Notamacropus eugenii: one gene and its partner. The protein of the gene in region 2 interacts with the protein of the main gene of each other region in a biochemical or structural test. Links are inferred from orthologs where the notes say so. Each region holds a gene or a part of one and is shown on either strand. Other genes may lie near its edges.

The links. The genes of interacting proteins can lie anywhere in the genome.
Region 1: the proteins of PKP4 (region 2) and PDZD2 form a complex in vitro, tested with the Homo sapiens proteins (2 studies listed by BioGRID and IntAct, with this or other methods). The link is inferred for Notamacropus eugenii from reciprocal best matches to the Homo sapiens genes PKP4 and PDZD2.

What each region holds. Positions count from the first base shown.
Region 1 is NC_092875.1:429,261,926-429,269,197, forward strand, and holds the start of PDZD2 (PDZ domain-containing protein 2), read left to right. Parts: upstream 1-4,187; 5' UTR 4,188-7,272.
Region 2 is NC_092876.1:217,432,619-217,440,568, forward strand, and holds the start of PKP4 (plakophilin-4), read left to right. Parts: upstream 1-4,903; 5' UTR 4,904-5,008; intron 5,009-5,210; exon of another isoform or gene 5,211-7,950. UniProt on the Homo sapiens protein: Plays a role as a regulator of Rho activity during cytokinesis. May play a role in junctional plaques.

The DNA of each region.
Region 1 (7,272 bases), on a different chromosome or scaffold from region 2:
AGTTGTCAAGTTCATAATAAAAAAAGAAAAATAATTTTTTAAAATCTTCCTGTGTTTCTCTGAATCTTTTATTTTTGTAGTTTCCTGTGGCTGAGCAATATTCCATGATATTCAAGTACTTCAGTGTATTTAATCATTTCCAATGAATCTTACATTGTTTCTACTTCTTTGCTGCCATAAAAGCACTGCTATGAATATTTTGGTCTCTGTCAGTCAGAAAATGTCTGCCTGTACGCTACCTAACCCAAATGCAAGTGCACATCAATTTGCTTTGTTTGATTTTCCCAATCTAACAGGGACTTAAGGTCATTGAGCATCATTGCCATCATACTTGTGGCCACCATTAAGTGCATGGGATGCTATGGGAGAACCCTTTGAAGGGTTGTGAATGTTGTTAGATGGTGTTTAACTTTTTCTTTTTTAAAACCCAGGAAAGGTTCTGTGGGGAACTGGGGGTACAGAAGAAAGGGAGGATATTAGGAAAGGTCTGGGATATTTTAAAAAATCTCCAAAAGGAAAAAAAGTTAAAAACCTCTCAATCTAAAAGCATTTTTAAATCACCACCATATACTGGGTACTGTGCTGGTTGTTAGAGATACAAAGACAAAGTGAGACACTCTGTATAGACACAGAATCTAAAGCTGGAAAGAAATTTGGAGACCAATCAACAAGCATTTAGTAAGTCCTTACTGCATAACGTCACATAGACCAAAGGAATCAAATATGAAACCCTCAGACTGGCTGTGTCATGGCTGGCACATGGGAACTGGATTAAAATGTAATTGGGAAATATTTAGCAAATTAAATAAATACAATTGGAACATAGATAATGTGCCACACATCCTTATGTATGGTTTAGAGGCCCCCTTTCCATTTGGGTTTGACATCAATGCCATAGACCACTGCTCTAGACCAATGCTTTAATTTTGCAGATAAGGAAACTGAGGCTGAGGAAGACTTTGACTTATCCATAATCACATGGATAGTGAGTCAGTATTTGAACCCAGGTCCCCTTCTGATTCCAAATCCAGAGCTCATTTCACACAACTGCTAAAGTCATCTATGGCCATTGGGATTTTTCAGTTTAAAACTTATAAAATCATGGATCATAATATACCACAAAGAAAGCATGAGCCACATTAACATAAGCAAACTCAGCTCTCAATTACCCATGATGAAGGCTGAGAAAAGATCAAATAAAGTTCATGCCCAATCCTCAAACTGCTTGCAAGACAATTATTTCATCTTCTTCCATCAAGCCTTAATAAAAAACATTACAAATGAAAATTTGTAGGTGGAGATGTATTTCTTTTCTATCTATTTTATCATATTCATTGTACTCCTGGAAGGGGGATGGGTGGATCACAAGCAACAGCAGACTCTGCCTGCCCCAGGCTTCCCACCTAGCAGATTCTGTTGCTATAGGGTCCTATCTGAAGGTGATGGAAAGAAAATTGGAACTCTGAAGTCAGAGGATTCGGGTTCAGTGTTTGCTATTTGAATGATCTTGGGCAAGTTGTTTAACCTCCCCGTTCCTCAGTTTTCTCATTTGTAAGATGGAGAGTTTGGACTGGGTGGACTCTGTATTAATGAATGAGGCGGGATGGGAAGGAGTTCTGGTGGTGTAGCCCCACTTCCCTGTGTCTGAACCAGTGGCATCAGATGATAAGCCACTAACAGGCTCTGTAATCCCAGGCAATCGGAGCTGTGCTAATGCTCAGTTTATCTTTAATATTAATATCAGTAATTCACAGTTCTCTAGGGCTTTAAGCTTTACAAAACATTTTCTTGATGCCGACTCTGAGCTAGGCAGAAAAATTATGATTCTCCTTTTTCACATGACAAAATGGAGTCTCAAAGGATGAGTGACTTATCCAGGGTCACAGTGCTACTAAGCATCAGAGTGGGAATTTGAACTGAAACATCTCCTGATGTTACATGCATTACTCTTTGTACAGTGTCATGTTACCTCTCATCGGCAAGTGATAATTCAGCATCTACTCTGCACTGGGCATGTGTAGACAGATAATCATTGTCAAAGAAGTTCAGAGGACAGAGCTGTCACTGTGTGTTGAAGTAATCAAGGAACATTTCACAAGAGGAAATTGTGCTTGAGTAGACCCTTGATGGACCAATAGGATTTTAGTTGGTAAAGAGAAGGGCATTATGGGTGAGAGGTAGGAAATGAGGGAAGATATGGAACTTAGTAAAAAAAAAAAATATGTGACTTCTAGATTGAGGGAAGCAAGAGGGTCTTGCCTCTAGGACTGGTTTTGTGAGAGAAAGGGCTCAAGGCTTGTGTCAAACTACCCTACCAATTGACTTGCTGAGTGGTCTTGGATGCCAGTTAACATCTCTAGAACCTTTTTGTTCTGTCACTAAATGAGACGTGCATTTTGCTTATATTGTAGTCACTGTTTTCCGCCTCACTAGTTTGAGACCATTGAAGTCTTTGACCTCATCCCTATGGCCTAAAACAGTCAGGTCAGTCCCACCAGAAAAAAGAAAGCCTGTTTATGATAGCAAAACACTTTGCTTGGGAAAAAACATTTCAACCAAAATTGAAAGTGGTCCAGGAGCGTCCAACTGTGCAGGATGTTGGGTGGATGAGTTAATGAGTGATTGCTGGGTTCTTTGAAATCTCAAAGTGCTGGGAACGTACTGTGTATTTTTGCCATGCCCAGGAAAAGCTGGGTTGCTGGAAAGGGTGACGGACAATTTGTTTCCCTCTTGAGGGTCATACGCTGGGCTGCCTGTGCCCAGGATTGGCTTTAGCAGGAGTTCATCAGGCCAAGCTGGAACAAGGGCAATGGACCATATGCTTCTTGGCTTGGGAGGTAAATTGCATTTTTTCTTAACTTTATGTTGTGGGTGAGCAGCAGGATCCCCCCACGTTGCTGAAGCCTCCACCTGCTAGTATTACATATCGGGAATTGATCTGTTAGTGAAGTGCGGGTTTTCTGGCTATGGGAGGATTATGATGATTCTAGGATAGTGAAGAAAGGAAGAGGGGGAGAGGAAGATGGAGGGGAGAAGGAGAGGGAGAGGGAGGGAGGGAGAGAGGGAGGAAGAGAGAGAGAGAGAGAGAGAGAGAGAGAGAGAGAGAGAGAGAAGAAGAGACATATATAGAGAGATGGAGAGAGACAAAGAAGAAAGAAGAGAGAGGAAAGAGAAAGGGAGAGGAGAAAGTGAGTAGACAGAGAAGAAGGGAGAAAGAGAGAGAGAGAAGAGGGAAGCAGCATATTTGATAGTAGAATATTAAGATTAATTGGTGTTCTTTTGCCATTAAAACGTCTTCCTGGGTGTTTTCTCTCTGAGCTGACTGAAGTATCCATGGTGACTTGTTAGCGACATTTGGAAACAAAAATATTGTCAATGTGTGCAAGGCAGTTTATGTTTAAGGAAATGCCTTCTTGAAAAGTAGGGTTTGCATGAGTCCAGTTATCAGGCAGCTGCACCTTCCTCTTTGGAGACAGGCATTGAAAAGAACCCTGAAGTCTTTCTTCAGTCTTTGGGGTGGGAGTTGTGTGGGCCTGGCTGTCGGTGACGAGCTGAGGCTCAGGGTTGCTGTTTCTGGCTTTCCTCTGGTATACTAGGTTCAGTGGCAAGCCTCAGGCTCAGATGGGCTATTTAGGGGACCCAAACCAAATACCCATCAGTGATGGATCAAATCCTTGCAGTTATTCTTTCTGTTTGGTTAAACTCTTGGAGTTGTTGTTTCTTGGGAGACAGTGATAGTCAATGAAAAAAAAATGTTAGTTTTGGAGTCAGAAGACCTGGGTTCAAATTCACTTTTGCCATATCACTACCTGGGTGAACTCGAACAACTTATCTTGCCTCTTTAGATCTTTAAGGTTTCTTCATCCACAAAATGAGAGGATTGAACTAGATAGCCCCTATGATAACTTCTAGCTCAAAACTTGTGATACTGTAAATACCAATGCTGAGTCTACTTTTACTCACTTTACTCATCTTACACAGGTTCCATGGACCTAAGAATGCTTTTAGACAAAGTGCTTTGAGATCCTGTACTACATCTATGCAAGGTAGTGGGAAACGCCTTCCAAATGATGATTTATTCACCATGGGAAAGATTGTAAGAGTTTGAGTGCAATTTTATTGATGATGTTTGATGGAGAGTCACATTAGAGGAGGGGAAACATCTGGATTTTGCCATTCCAGCTATTGGGAGGAGAGGGAGGGGGAAAGAAATGGTAACAACTGGAAAAGAAGAGTTTTGATTGCCTTCCCCTTGAAACAGGCAATGTACTGATCTGAGCTGGAGTTCTCTAACCTCAAGCCAGAAATGTCTTAGACTCCTGGAGGTGGAAATGGAGATGGAGCAGGTATTTAAAAGATGGAGAAACACTTGCTTCTCAGACATTGCAACAGAAAGAAGTTAGGAGAAATCGTAACAATGGTCGGGCCAAAGAAAAGATCTGGGACCATCTGCTAAGGAGAGGAAGCATGCACCCTGAGTTTTGTAGATGATCTCTGAATTTTCTTTGGACGCCACTTAAACCCCACCCAAGCTTCTGATTTACTAAGAATCCAACCTCCCTGCATTTCCTGATGAGCCGCTGTTCTTCATTTCCTGTGAGGACAGACTAAGAGGAAGAAATGGATTTGGTTTGCAGGAGAGGGGTTTAGGTTAAACTGTACTGGTATGGCTGGGGCGTTTGACTCAGCGGCCCCCCCTAGAGCCTTCTGCCCCCTGCCTACTGAAGCAGTACCTCCTTCAGTGAATTTGCGCACCCACTCAGAGAAACATTGGTGGGTCCCCAGTCTGAGCCTGCCAACTGCCTCTCCTGGACAAGTGAGTTTAATTACGTGCTGCTCCCTAGAAATGATGCTGACTTGCCCTCGAAATCCTTGACAGGATGCCAGACCCTGCTATGTCTGGAACTGCCTCCTATGGCAAGAGGAGGGATGGGTTTGCTCAGCCTGGCAATCCTCCCTTGCCCCCACCTCGCCTTAGCAGCCCAGAGGCTTCCAGAGATGCACCCATGACACCTCCTGTGTTATAGTTTGTGTTGTTTCAATGTGCAGCCCAAAGCATGGGATATGAGGCTTTTCAGAGGATGGTGCACTGTTGAGGCTGGTCTGGTATTGGATAATTCTGGATCCTTCTTCTCCTCCTCCTTCTCCTTTTCTCCCTCCTCTTACCCCTCTTCTTCCTACTCCTATTCCTTCTCCTTTCCTCTCTTGTGGTTCCCAGATCAACTTAGCCTTGTTCTTCGAGAGGGCATCTTTTGCTCTGAGGTTTACTCCCTGTCAGGGATTATGATAATACTTACAAAGTGGTTTTGATTCTGAGATGACATAGTGCCCAATATGGGACCATTATACATTTCTTATCATGAAGACGTTATTCAGGAGGAAAATGGCTCCTGCTTTTCTTTCCCTCATTGCATATGATGCCTTGGTGGCTCAGGGGAGGGTGCTGGCTCATTCATATTCTTAGCATCTCTACTGGAAACCAGACGCCGTATTCTTCATCAGAATATGATAAGGGCAAGAATAAACAGGCAATGTTACTGGTCACTATGGTCTTCATGGAAAGCCATGTCTCCTTCCTCCCTCCCACCCCCAGTCCCCAGCATCCCATTCAAAACTCTCAGTCATCTCTCACTTCAGGTGGTACAATAGATAGAGTGCTTACTAGACCTAAAGTAAGGCAGACCTAAGTTCAAATCCAGCCTCAGACACTTACTAGCTGTGGAACCCAGGGCAAGTCACTTAAGCTCTGTTTGCCTCAGTTTCCTCATCTGTAAAATGGGGATAAGGATAGCACCGGCCTCCCAGGGTTGTCGTGAGGATCCAGTGAGATAATATTTATAATATATATTATATAAAGTACACATAGTATTTTAAGTACTATGTACTTAGTACAGTGTCTGGTACATAGTAAGTACTACAAAATGTTAGCTATTACATTATTATTTAGCAGCTGAAGTGGAAATTATCTGCAAAAATCAGCTGGCCCCTTTGTATGAAGCAGGTCTTGTACTTAACTCATTGACCTTTTGTGACCTTAAAATCCACAGTTTTTCTTTTGTATTTGTCTCATTTATTGTCCATGTTAAAACTTCATTAGGCAGTGTCCCCATTTCTCTGATGATTGGCCAGTGCAGGAGGGATTTGACTTTTCAGACAATCCTCCCTGGAATCTTAAATGATCCCAGCTCCAAACTTCTTATCTTTTGCATTTTCCCAGATGCCTTATGCTTATTTTATAACCACTAGTCATATCACAAACCATCATGAATGCCATTCCCTGCATATCTTCTCTGCACTCTTAGAAGCTGGTGAGTGATTGCAGAGGACTGGGTGTCTCAGGGCAGGTATGCTGTGATGTTTTCGGTTAGCCTGCTGGGTGTAGAAGTTAAACTTCCTCCCCCTTCTTCCTTTCCTTCTGTTTCTTCCCTCCTTCCTTTCTTTTCCCTCTCTCTCCTCCTCCTTCTCCCCATTTCCCTTTCCTAACACAGTTTCTTCAAAACAAAAACCAAACAAAAAAACCCAGTGAAATACATAAGGAAAAGCTGTGCAAGGTTTTTTCTCCGACAATATATGTTGACATGACATAATTTGGATTTCTTTACCAATTTCAGAAGATATAGTTTGTGTGTCCAGCAGGAAATGGAGGTAATTTTTTTCCCCCTCCACTATAGTCTACCATGTCCCTAAGAGCTACAAAAATGACTGTAAGGTTAAAAATAAGACCTGTAAGGTCAGCTAAATGAAGGTAGCTTCTTAGAAGGAAATGATAAGCAGCAGTCCAGCATTTCTCACAAGGACAGAATAGGAGAAGGAAATTGACTTGAGCTACAGAAATGACAGATTTGGGTTATAGAAAGGAAAACTAAGCTGACTGGGAGAATTGTTGAATATTAGAATGGGTTATTGTGCCGTTTGTAGTCAGCAAATTTGACTTTGAGTTTGTAAGGGTTATATTTAACAAGACTGAATTTTCTTTAAAATACTTGACGTACAATTGAGGTCAAGTGACACAGGATGGACTTGGGTGTTGACTGTGTGTCCAAAGAGGTAGACTTTCCATAGGTTTGGTTAACTGAGAGATCTAAGTTAGCCTACTTTTGCATTCAATGATACTTTTTGTATAAATCAGAGCTCTTTATTAAAATAGTTAAGAACTAACTTATTTGGGTTATGACTAAAAACCTATAATTTAGAAAGTTTAAGGAAATACAGATAATTAGAGGTAGAAGAATACTTAACAAGGTCATCTTCAATCACTGTTTACTGCCAATT
Region 2 (7,950 bases):
TTTAAAAGCAGTCTAAATTTCCAACAATAACATAATGGTTAAACAAATTATAGTATACTTGATAAAATTCACTGATTTTATTAAAAAAACACATAAGGAATATAAAAAAATCTAGAAAGACCTTTATAAAATACAATACAAAAAGGGGTGGGAAAAGGCAGAACCAGAATTAATCAATCAATGAGCATTTAAGTGCCTACTATATGTCAGGCAATGGGGTTACAAAGGCCAAAAAAATAAAATGAAATAATTCCTTACTTTGAAGAGCTTACATTCTATGGGGGAAACAATCTCTACGGATACATAAGTAAATACAAAAGACCTCATGTTGGAGGTGGTGCTTGAATTGAGTTTTGATGGAAACTAGGGATCTTAAAGATGAGGAAGGAGTGCATTCCAGGCAATAGTTTGGCGTGTGTGTGTGTGTGTGTGTGTGTGTGTGTGTGTGTGTGTTGTGAAATGAACCTCAAAAAGGGCTTCAAATTCCCAAAAAATTAATTCTAGATGAAATAGGACCAAAATCCCATTACGAACATATAAAAAGTAAATGACAAGTGAAAAAGAAACTGATGGAGACTAAGGGGAGAAGTGACATATTACATATTAAAATTTATTTGAATGCAAATAGTTGCAAAGTAAATTCAATGATTTATATTGATATTTAATATTCAGCTTAAAATAGAGCATTAAAGATAAAATCAAAGACTCTTTTTTTATGTCAGGAAGAAGCTTGGGATTGTTGAAATGTTGCACTTTCTTAAAGCAACGCAGCTTGCTCTCTTCCTACCATTCAACTCTGGGCCCAACTCAGTTTCCAGCTGCAGTGCTTGACCCAGACATGATATACTGACTCAGTGAACTGTTTGTTGTTCCAACAAATGCTGGACATCAGTCAGCATTTTTCATCCATTTAGTTTTTTTCCTCTAGGGATTGTTAGGTTGATCTCTTTTGTATAATCATGGATCTCACTGAGAAGGCCTTGTAATGTTCTCATGTTAGATTCAATCAGCACAATGTCATTCACAAAGATTATCTGGAATACCTTACAGTCTGTGGAGAATTCTTCTTTCATTTGGATCCTACATAGAACAACATCCACAAGAGAGAAAAAAAAAACATCTCTGGCAAGAACAAGTTTTCTTGCATGATACTTTGATAAACTTCAATAACCAGAGTGCCATTGACTATATTTTGCTAGGTCAACTACTTTTTTGGAATCAAATATATACAATAGGATCTTATGTTTCCTTGTAACCTTTAGTCTGCTATTCAATTTCCAAGATGTGGACTGTGGAAGAAAATCATTTGTGAAAGCCTGAGTGTTCCTTTTATGTATTTTCTTGAAGCATGCTCTTGGTAAGGAACATATATCTGTATCTATATGTCATTCTCATGAAGGTTTTATGAGAAATATAAGCAAAAGAGCTTGTCTTCTCTATTTTCTTCTTTGGTGGTATTAACATTGTTTTTTCCCTATTATTTTGGTGTTCTCCTTTTCCAGAGATGGATGTTTAAAATTAATTCAATGCTTCCAACATTGTGTTACCTCCAGTAAGTATATCATGAATGTATATTTCAGCTGCTCTGGCAATTCTTTAAGGGCCATTTCTATTTTCTTGGATAAAGATCTGGGACCAAGGTATTGGGGATTACATGTGGTGGTTCCTCTTGTACTACAGATAAAAATGGAAAAAAGAAAAAACACAAAGAGTGCTAAAGGAAACTGTCAGGAGGACAACAAACAGGTTATACTTTTGCAGGAAATGATGATAGTCAAGATTCGTACCTTTGCCTTTTTCTTTTCCATTTTTTGGCACTAATAGCTTGTTTGATTTTGTCAGGTCAAAATAAGTGCAATTGCACTCTTATTTTAGCAAAAAAGTGGTATACCAAAGAATAATTATCTAATACAAATGCACCCTTACTTTTGGAGAGGGAAATGGCAAACCATTCCAGTGTCTTTGCCAAGAAAACCCCAAATAGGGTCATGAAGAGTCAGACTTGATTGACTTGATTGACAATAAGCCCCTACTTTACAAAGTAGCTGCACTCTTGAAAAGTTGAGCATAAACTGAACTTTTGTAAAGTTAATATTATTTTAAAATATATCAGCCCAGTATAATCTAAAAGGATCCCCGAAGTGAAGTTGTGAGCATGGCAAAGAATTATATTGTAATCCAAACTATTACTAATTTATCTGTTAAATAAGCCTAATTGAAACAAACAATGTTAGTTTTTCTTTAAGTGGGGCAGTAGCTAGAGTTCTGTAGGTTTATCAAAGAGAACCATTTTTACCATAGTTATAGTAAAATAAATGTATATTGAGCTGTAGCATATTACAGAATTAAATTAGTTATATTTTATTCAATTTTAATTATTACAAACAGCATATGCAATATAAAATCCTAATGAAATTCATCATTTTGGAAAAGTATATAATTCTACAATGAAAATAATTTGTTTTTGTTTCTTCTGCTTCCCATTCAGCCCCAGAAATGGAGAAAATGAAATCATTGCTGCTCTATCTGCATTAATAAAAATACCTTGCATTCATAAGCTGTTACAATCAAACCTTATATAGCACTGGCATGTCGTATGCTCATCAATGTATTACTTTTCCTGTGGGTTCATTTATAAAGTTTGAATTTTACTTATTCTGTCTTTCAACAGAAGCATGGTTAGTTATCCCTTTCCAAAGCAGGCAGACCAAATTCCCATGATGGTAAGGCAAGAAAACACTGAACCCACTGACTTGTTGCTCCCTACCCAGCACTGGATACGTACAAGTCACTCCACAAACAATTGTACAAATGTTCACTTGCCATCTGGGATTGTCTGACCCTGAACAAAGATGTCAACTAGGTTTGGATTTTATCACACATATTACGGAGCCTGAAAACACAGTCACCCTATTAATGAGCTAATGCATAATATTTATGATTAGACCAGGGACACTACTGTATAATGCTTCCAAACTTTTTTTTAAAAAATCTAATAGCAAAACACATTATCTAATTTAAGATTCATAACAGAAGCAAGAGACTTTCCTCTCTCAATGAAATATTTCTAAATACTTCAAATTTCTAGATATTCCAAAAACACAATCATTTTTCACAAAATTGTCTTTAAAACAGCAGGTTCTTTAATAAAAATGTAACCTGGATATTGATAGCTTAAAAAAACCTTTTATCTTTAATAAAATAAATATCATTAGAAAACTAATGGTTATATTCCATTGCAATAATATAATAATTATTTCCTGTGAAATTCATTAGTTGTCCTTGCTTTAACTGGGTCCATTTTCCTTTTTTTAGACTTAGAAAAATAACATTTATTTCCATTTTACAGATTGGGAAACAGGAACAGGGTGACTATGTCATAAAGCAAAGCAGTAAGGGAGGCAGGATTAAAACCTAAGATGCACATGCTCACTCCAGTTACCTGAAACCAGGTTCACACTTAAGTTTAAGGAATATTAAACTCCCTAAAAATTGTTGACCAGAATTTTGATTCCATCCTCTCTCCCCTTGATTATGATACAAATATGAAAAAGCATGAGGCATTAAAGTTGCACATTATACCTTTACCCAGAAGCCAATCTCCTACTTACTATAGATATTGTCTGTCAAACTTGGATTGTTTTGTTGCTCTATTATGGGCAGAAGCTTAATAAATTCCATTTGATACTAAAGGAGAGATGAGAAGTTGTGGGCTAGGTTAAAATGTGTTTTAAATTCCAGTCCTTATTGTACTCACTGTAAAATGTAACTCACCACACTGACTTTTTCCTTGCCATTTTTGTTTTCCTTTAAAGGAAAAATACTCCTGAAAAATATCTCCCGGTTGGGGCCTGAATTTCAAACATCGACTTTGAAGTGAGATCTTCAGGGGGTGAGATAAATATGCAGAAAAGGAATTCCTGAGTAACACAAGATTCAGGGGATTTTGCATATGGGGGAAGAGGGAAGGATGGGAAAACAGACTCACCCGCATTAGCTGATGCTGCATTTAGGTCAAAGGGCGTAGTTTCAGGGGCCCGTTTCCCAAACCAAGGACAAGTGCATGCAGTACTTGTTTCTGAGGTCACCTTCAGGGACAGGTAAATTATATGGGTTTGGGGGTGGGGTAGGGTGTCTTCGGTACCACGGACAAGGCCTGTCAAGGGGGAAGCAAGAAATCAGGGGAAGAAAGGGAAGGGAAGGCCCACCCAATCCACGTCTAAGATACGGAATGAGGGAATCCCCCCGGCTCAAATCCTCCCACTCCTCCTCCTACCCGGGTGGTTCTAGGCAAATCACTGGGACCTTCCGGGCTCTCAGTTTTCTCAAAAGTAAAATGAAGGGGCTGGACTAGGTGGCCCCCGAAGTCCTTTTTGGATCTAGATCTAGGATACTCTGGCTCCTCGTAACCCACCCCCAGGGTCCCCACCCCCGAAGCCGGACACCTTCGTTCTCCCCACCCTCTCCACCTTTTCTAGCCGCTCTCGCTCTTAACAGCATCGGTCTCTATGGCGACCTGAAACCCCGAATTCCATTGGCCCGTTCAATATGAGGGCCGGGCCAATAGGGTGGGACAGCCTTTTCCTGCCGTCCAATGAAAGCGGGTGCGGAGCAGGTCGGGGGACGGCGGCGTGCTGACGTTCCCGGGAGCCCTAGGCTGGCTGGCTGGCTGACTGACTGACTGACTGGGCGGTGGGGGCTGCTTGGCGGAGCTCGGCAGCACCCAGGCACCGGGGCTGATTCCGTGCTGTCGCCGAGGAAGGTGGCACCATGGGCACCGGGTAGAGGGGGAAGTTGGCCGCCGCCGCCGCCTCCCGGGGGTGGGGTGGGAGAAGTGTTGCAGGGGAGGGGGCGGGCGGGCGGGAGGGGGTTCAGCGGGGGGGTTCGGGGGAAGGGGAGGGAAGCTCCCTTGGCCCTGGCACTTTTTTTTTGGGTGCCGCAGCCGCGACCCCTCCGCGCGGATGTCCCCGATTCCCGGAGCGTCGGCAGCCGCTTCCTAACCTGGAAAGTAAGTGTGCGGCAGGCGGGGAGGGCGCCGAACCTTATCCCCACCCCCCACTCCGTGGCCCTTCACTTCCCGACTCCTGGTACTGTTCCCTCGGCTCACCCCGCAAACCTCGGGATCGGGGCGAGGGTGGGGGAGGGTGTGGGAAGGGGAGACTCCCGTTACAACCGCCCCCACCCACCTACTTCTCTCCTTTCCTGCCCCGCCTCGTGTTCCTGCCTGCACTCGCCTTCTCCCCTCCCCCCCACCCCCCAAGGCACTGAAGTTTCCACCTCCATTTGCTTTTCCCAGGATTTTTCCCCCTTCCCTTCTGCTTACCTCTCTACCTTCCTGGACTGTGTATATATTTATACTCTCCGGTCTCTCCCTGGTCTGTGGCTTTCAGATTCCGCCCTTCCCCACCAACCTCCTCTCCCTCCTCCTCCCCTCCGACTAATCCTTCCCTGCAAATCTGCCCTTGCTCCTTTCCCTCTCCTGTCCCTTCTGGCTTTATGCCCCGTACTTTGGCTTCTTCTTCCTCTTCCCCATACCCTCTTTCATTCTGCCCTCACCTTCGTTTCTCTTCCCCACTCCCCCACTCCTTCTTCTCTAGTAAAACCTCCTGTTCATCTGATTTGCCCTAAATTCTCCATCTCCTACAAGCCTTTAAACCCCTGTCCTCTTCCCACCAGTCTTAACTGAATTCTGGAGAACTGGTTAGATCTTCCACTTTGCTTTGCGCTTTTCCTTTCTTTGAACACCTCTTCTCCGCCTCCCCTACCCCAATTCCAGCGTGGAGGTCTGTCTTGCACCCCTCACCCCTTCTTGGTCATCTTCCACACACCCTTATTCTCTCCGTGAGTGTTGCTTTAGCCCCTTTCCCCCTGATCCGCACTCCTGCATGTACTCCTCAGTTCACTTCTCTACCAGTCTTCTTTTGCCTCCTGCACATCTTTTCTCCCCCGATCCCCCAGGCTCCCCAACATGTTACGCGCAGGAGTTGAAATAACGTTTCCTCGGCCGTTGGGCGGCTGTCTCGGAGCAGCTTTTTGCCACTAGCCTCCTTTGCCCGGGCAGGGAGGGGGATTTGGCTCGGATTTAGCTGCGTGTTGGCGGAGTGCGACAAGCCGCCGAGTGCGGCTCTGAAACCGTGGTTGTAGCCGCTTAGGGCTGATGAATAGGCAGGTGTGTGTGTGCCTGGAGGAGACGCGCGCTGTTTGTTCCTCGGGCGGTAGATTGTGTAGGAATGTGAGGAATGCTTTGGGGGCAGAGTATGCACACCCTGCCGCTGCCGCCGCTCCCTGCTCAGCTCTCTCCATTAGCCAGAGGTCACTGGAGCATCTTCTCGGGAGCTGGTGAGGCTCTTACTTTTCTCCGCCTCCTTCCCTCTCTCCTTGCGGCAGAGCGGGCACTGGGGAAGTGTGACAAGCAGATCTGCCTGCCGTCAGCCTGGCAGGCAGTATTCGTGCTTCGGCTCGGTTTTGCGGCATTTTTCTTCAGGAGGATGAATTGGGGGGAGGGGGAAAAAGACTCCCACTTAACAAGGTCATTGGTCGTTGAATCTTCTCAAGTTTGGTTTGCAGTGTTTCATGAGTGTCTGATTTTTGTGTGCCACTGGGTTCTCAGAGAAGCAGAAGGTGGATGTTTTTAGGATGGTGCTGTTGCAAACAACATGGTTAGCCGTTTTAATAATGTCTGTTAGTGCTTGTGAAGGGAGACATAATCTGAAGATTTGTGGACCTCAGATGTCATGAGATTTGTAATTTTTGATCCTGCCATGCTGCTTTAGAATCCCATATAATGCATAATGAATAGAAACAGAGAGGCAGTGTTTGACCAGAGATGGGACAGATAGAACTGTCTGGTACAGTTAAATTAGGGGCTTGTCAATTACCTTTTGAAATAGCAGAGAAATACAATGAGATATAACAATCACAGACATGTCTATTCCAAGATTTATATTTATTAAGAAAGGTCATGTTTCTGGTTTTGTAATTATCCCAGTCCTTTTAGGAGAAGGGGAAGAGGAAAAGAGAATAACTTTTAAGCATGGTGGCTCAATTGAATAAAATGAAAAATTATTGGTATGTTTTTTAAGTGAAAAGTTGATTTTTTTTCTTAACATGAAGGAAACAAGTTGAAGAATGCTTTTGATATATTTTTAAAGAGAGGAGAATTTTTTCGTTTGCAATATTTTACATTCTCTTTCATTTGGCTATGTGACTTGTCTTTTTGGTGACACTTTTAGTAACAAGGTCACAGATGATTTTGTACAAGTACATTAAACAAAATTTGTTGGAAGCTTTCCTTTCTGGTGTTGTAGAGAAACCTTAATGGAAACAAACAAAATTATTGTCTGGGGGGAAGGAACGAAAAGTAAAAGTGATTATGTATGTTGCTTTGAGAGACCTACTGTGTGTGCTTTATATGGGACACATTTTGCTTTTGAGAATGTTATCTATAAACTCCTCCGAAAATTTTGGATCAGACTCAGGAAAATGATAAATTTATTTGCCAAATTAAGATATTTTTCTGTGATCACTTGGCTTGTATTGAGCCATGAAGAGTATAGCATGAAACTTTTGTATGAAAACTGGACAAGGCAAAATAGAAAACAAAAACTTAGAGAAAATTACACCTTACCACTGAAGCTTTCTTATACCTATGTTTACAGTTGATGAACATTCTAAATTAAGGGTCTGCTTGATATCTATCATTGTAAAGGACATAGATTTTTGTAATTGTAGCAGCAAACTTTTATTATGTAACATTTTAGAACCAGTGACAGTACAAGGTAAATTATATTGTTATTTGATTTGAAATTCATTCTAAAGGATAGAGAACAGGTTGTTTCCTTGCTGTATTCTCTGTTGCAAATTGAAATAGCTATATATATACTGTATACATGTTTTAGGTAGATGGTTTTAACTGCTTGAGAGACCTTTCTGTATTCAATCATGCATTCT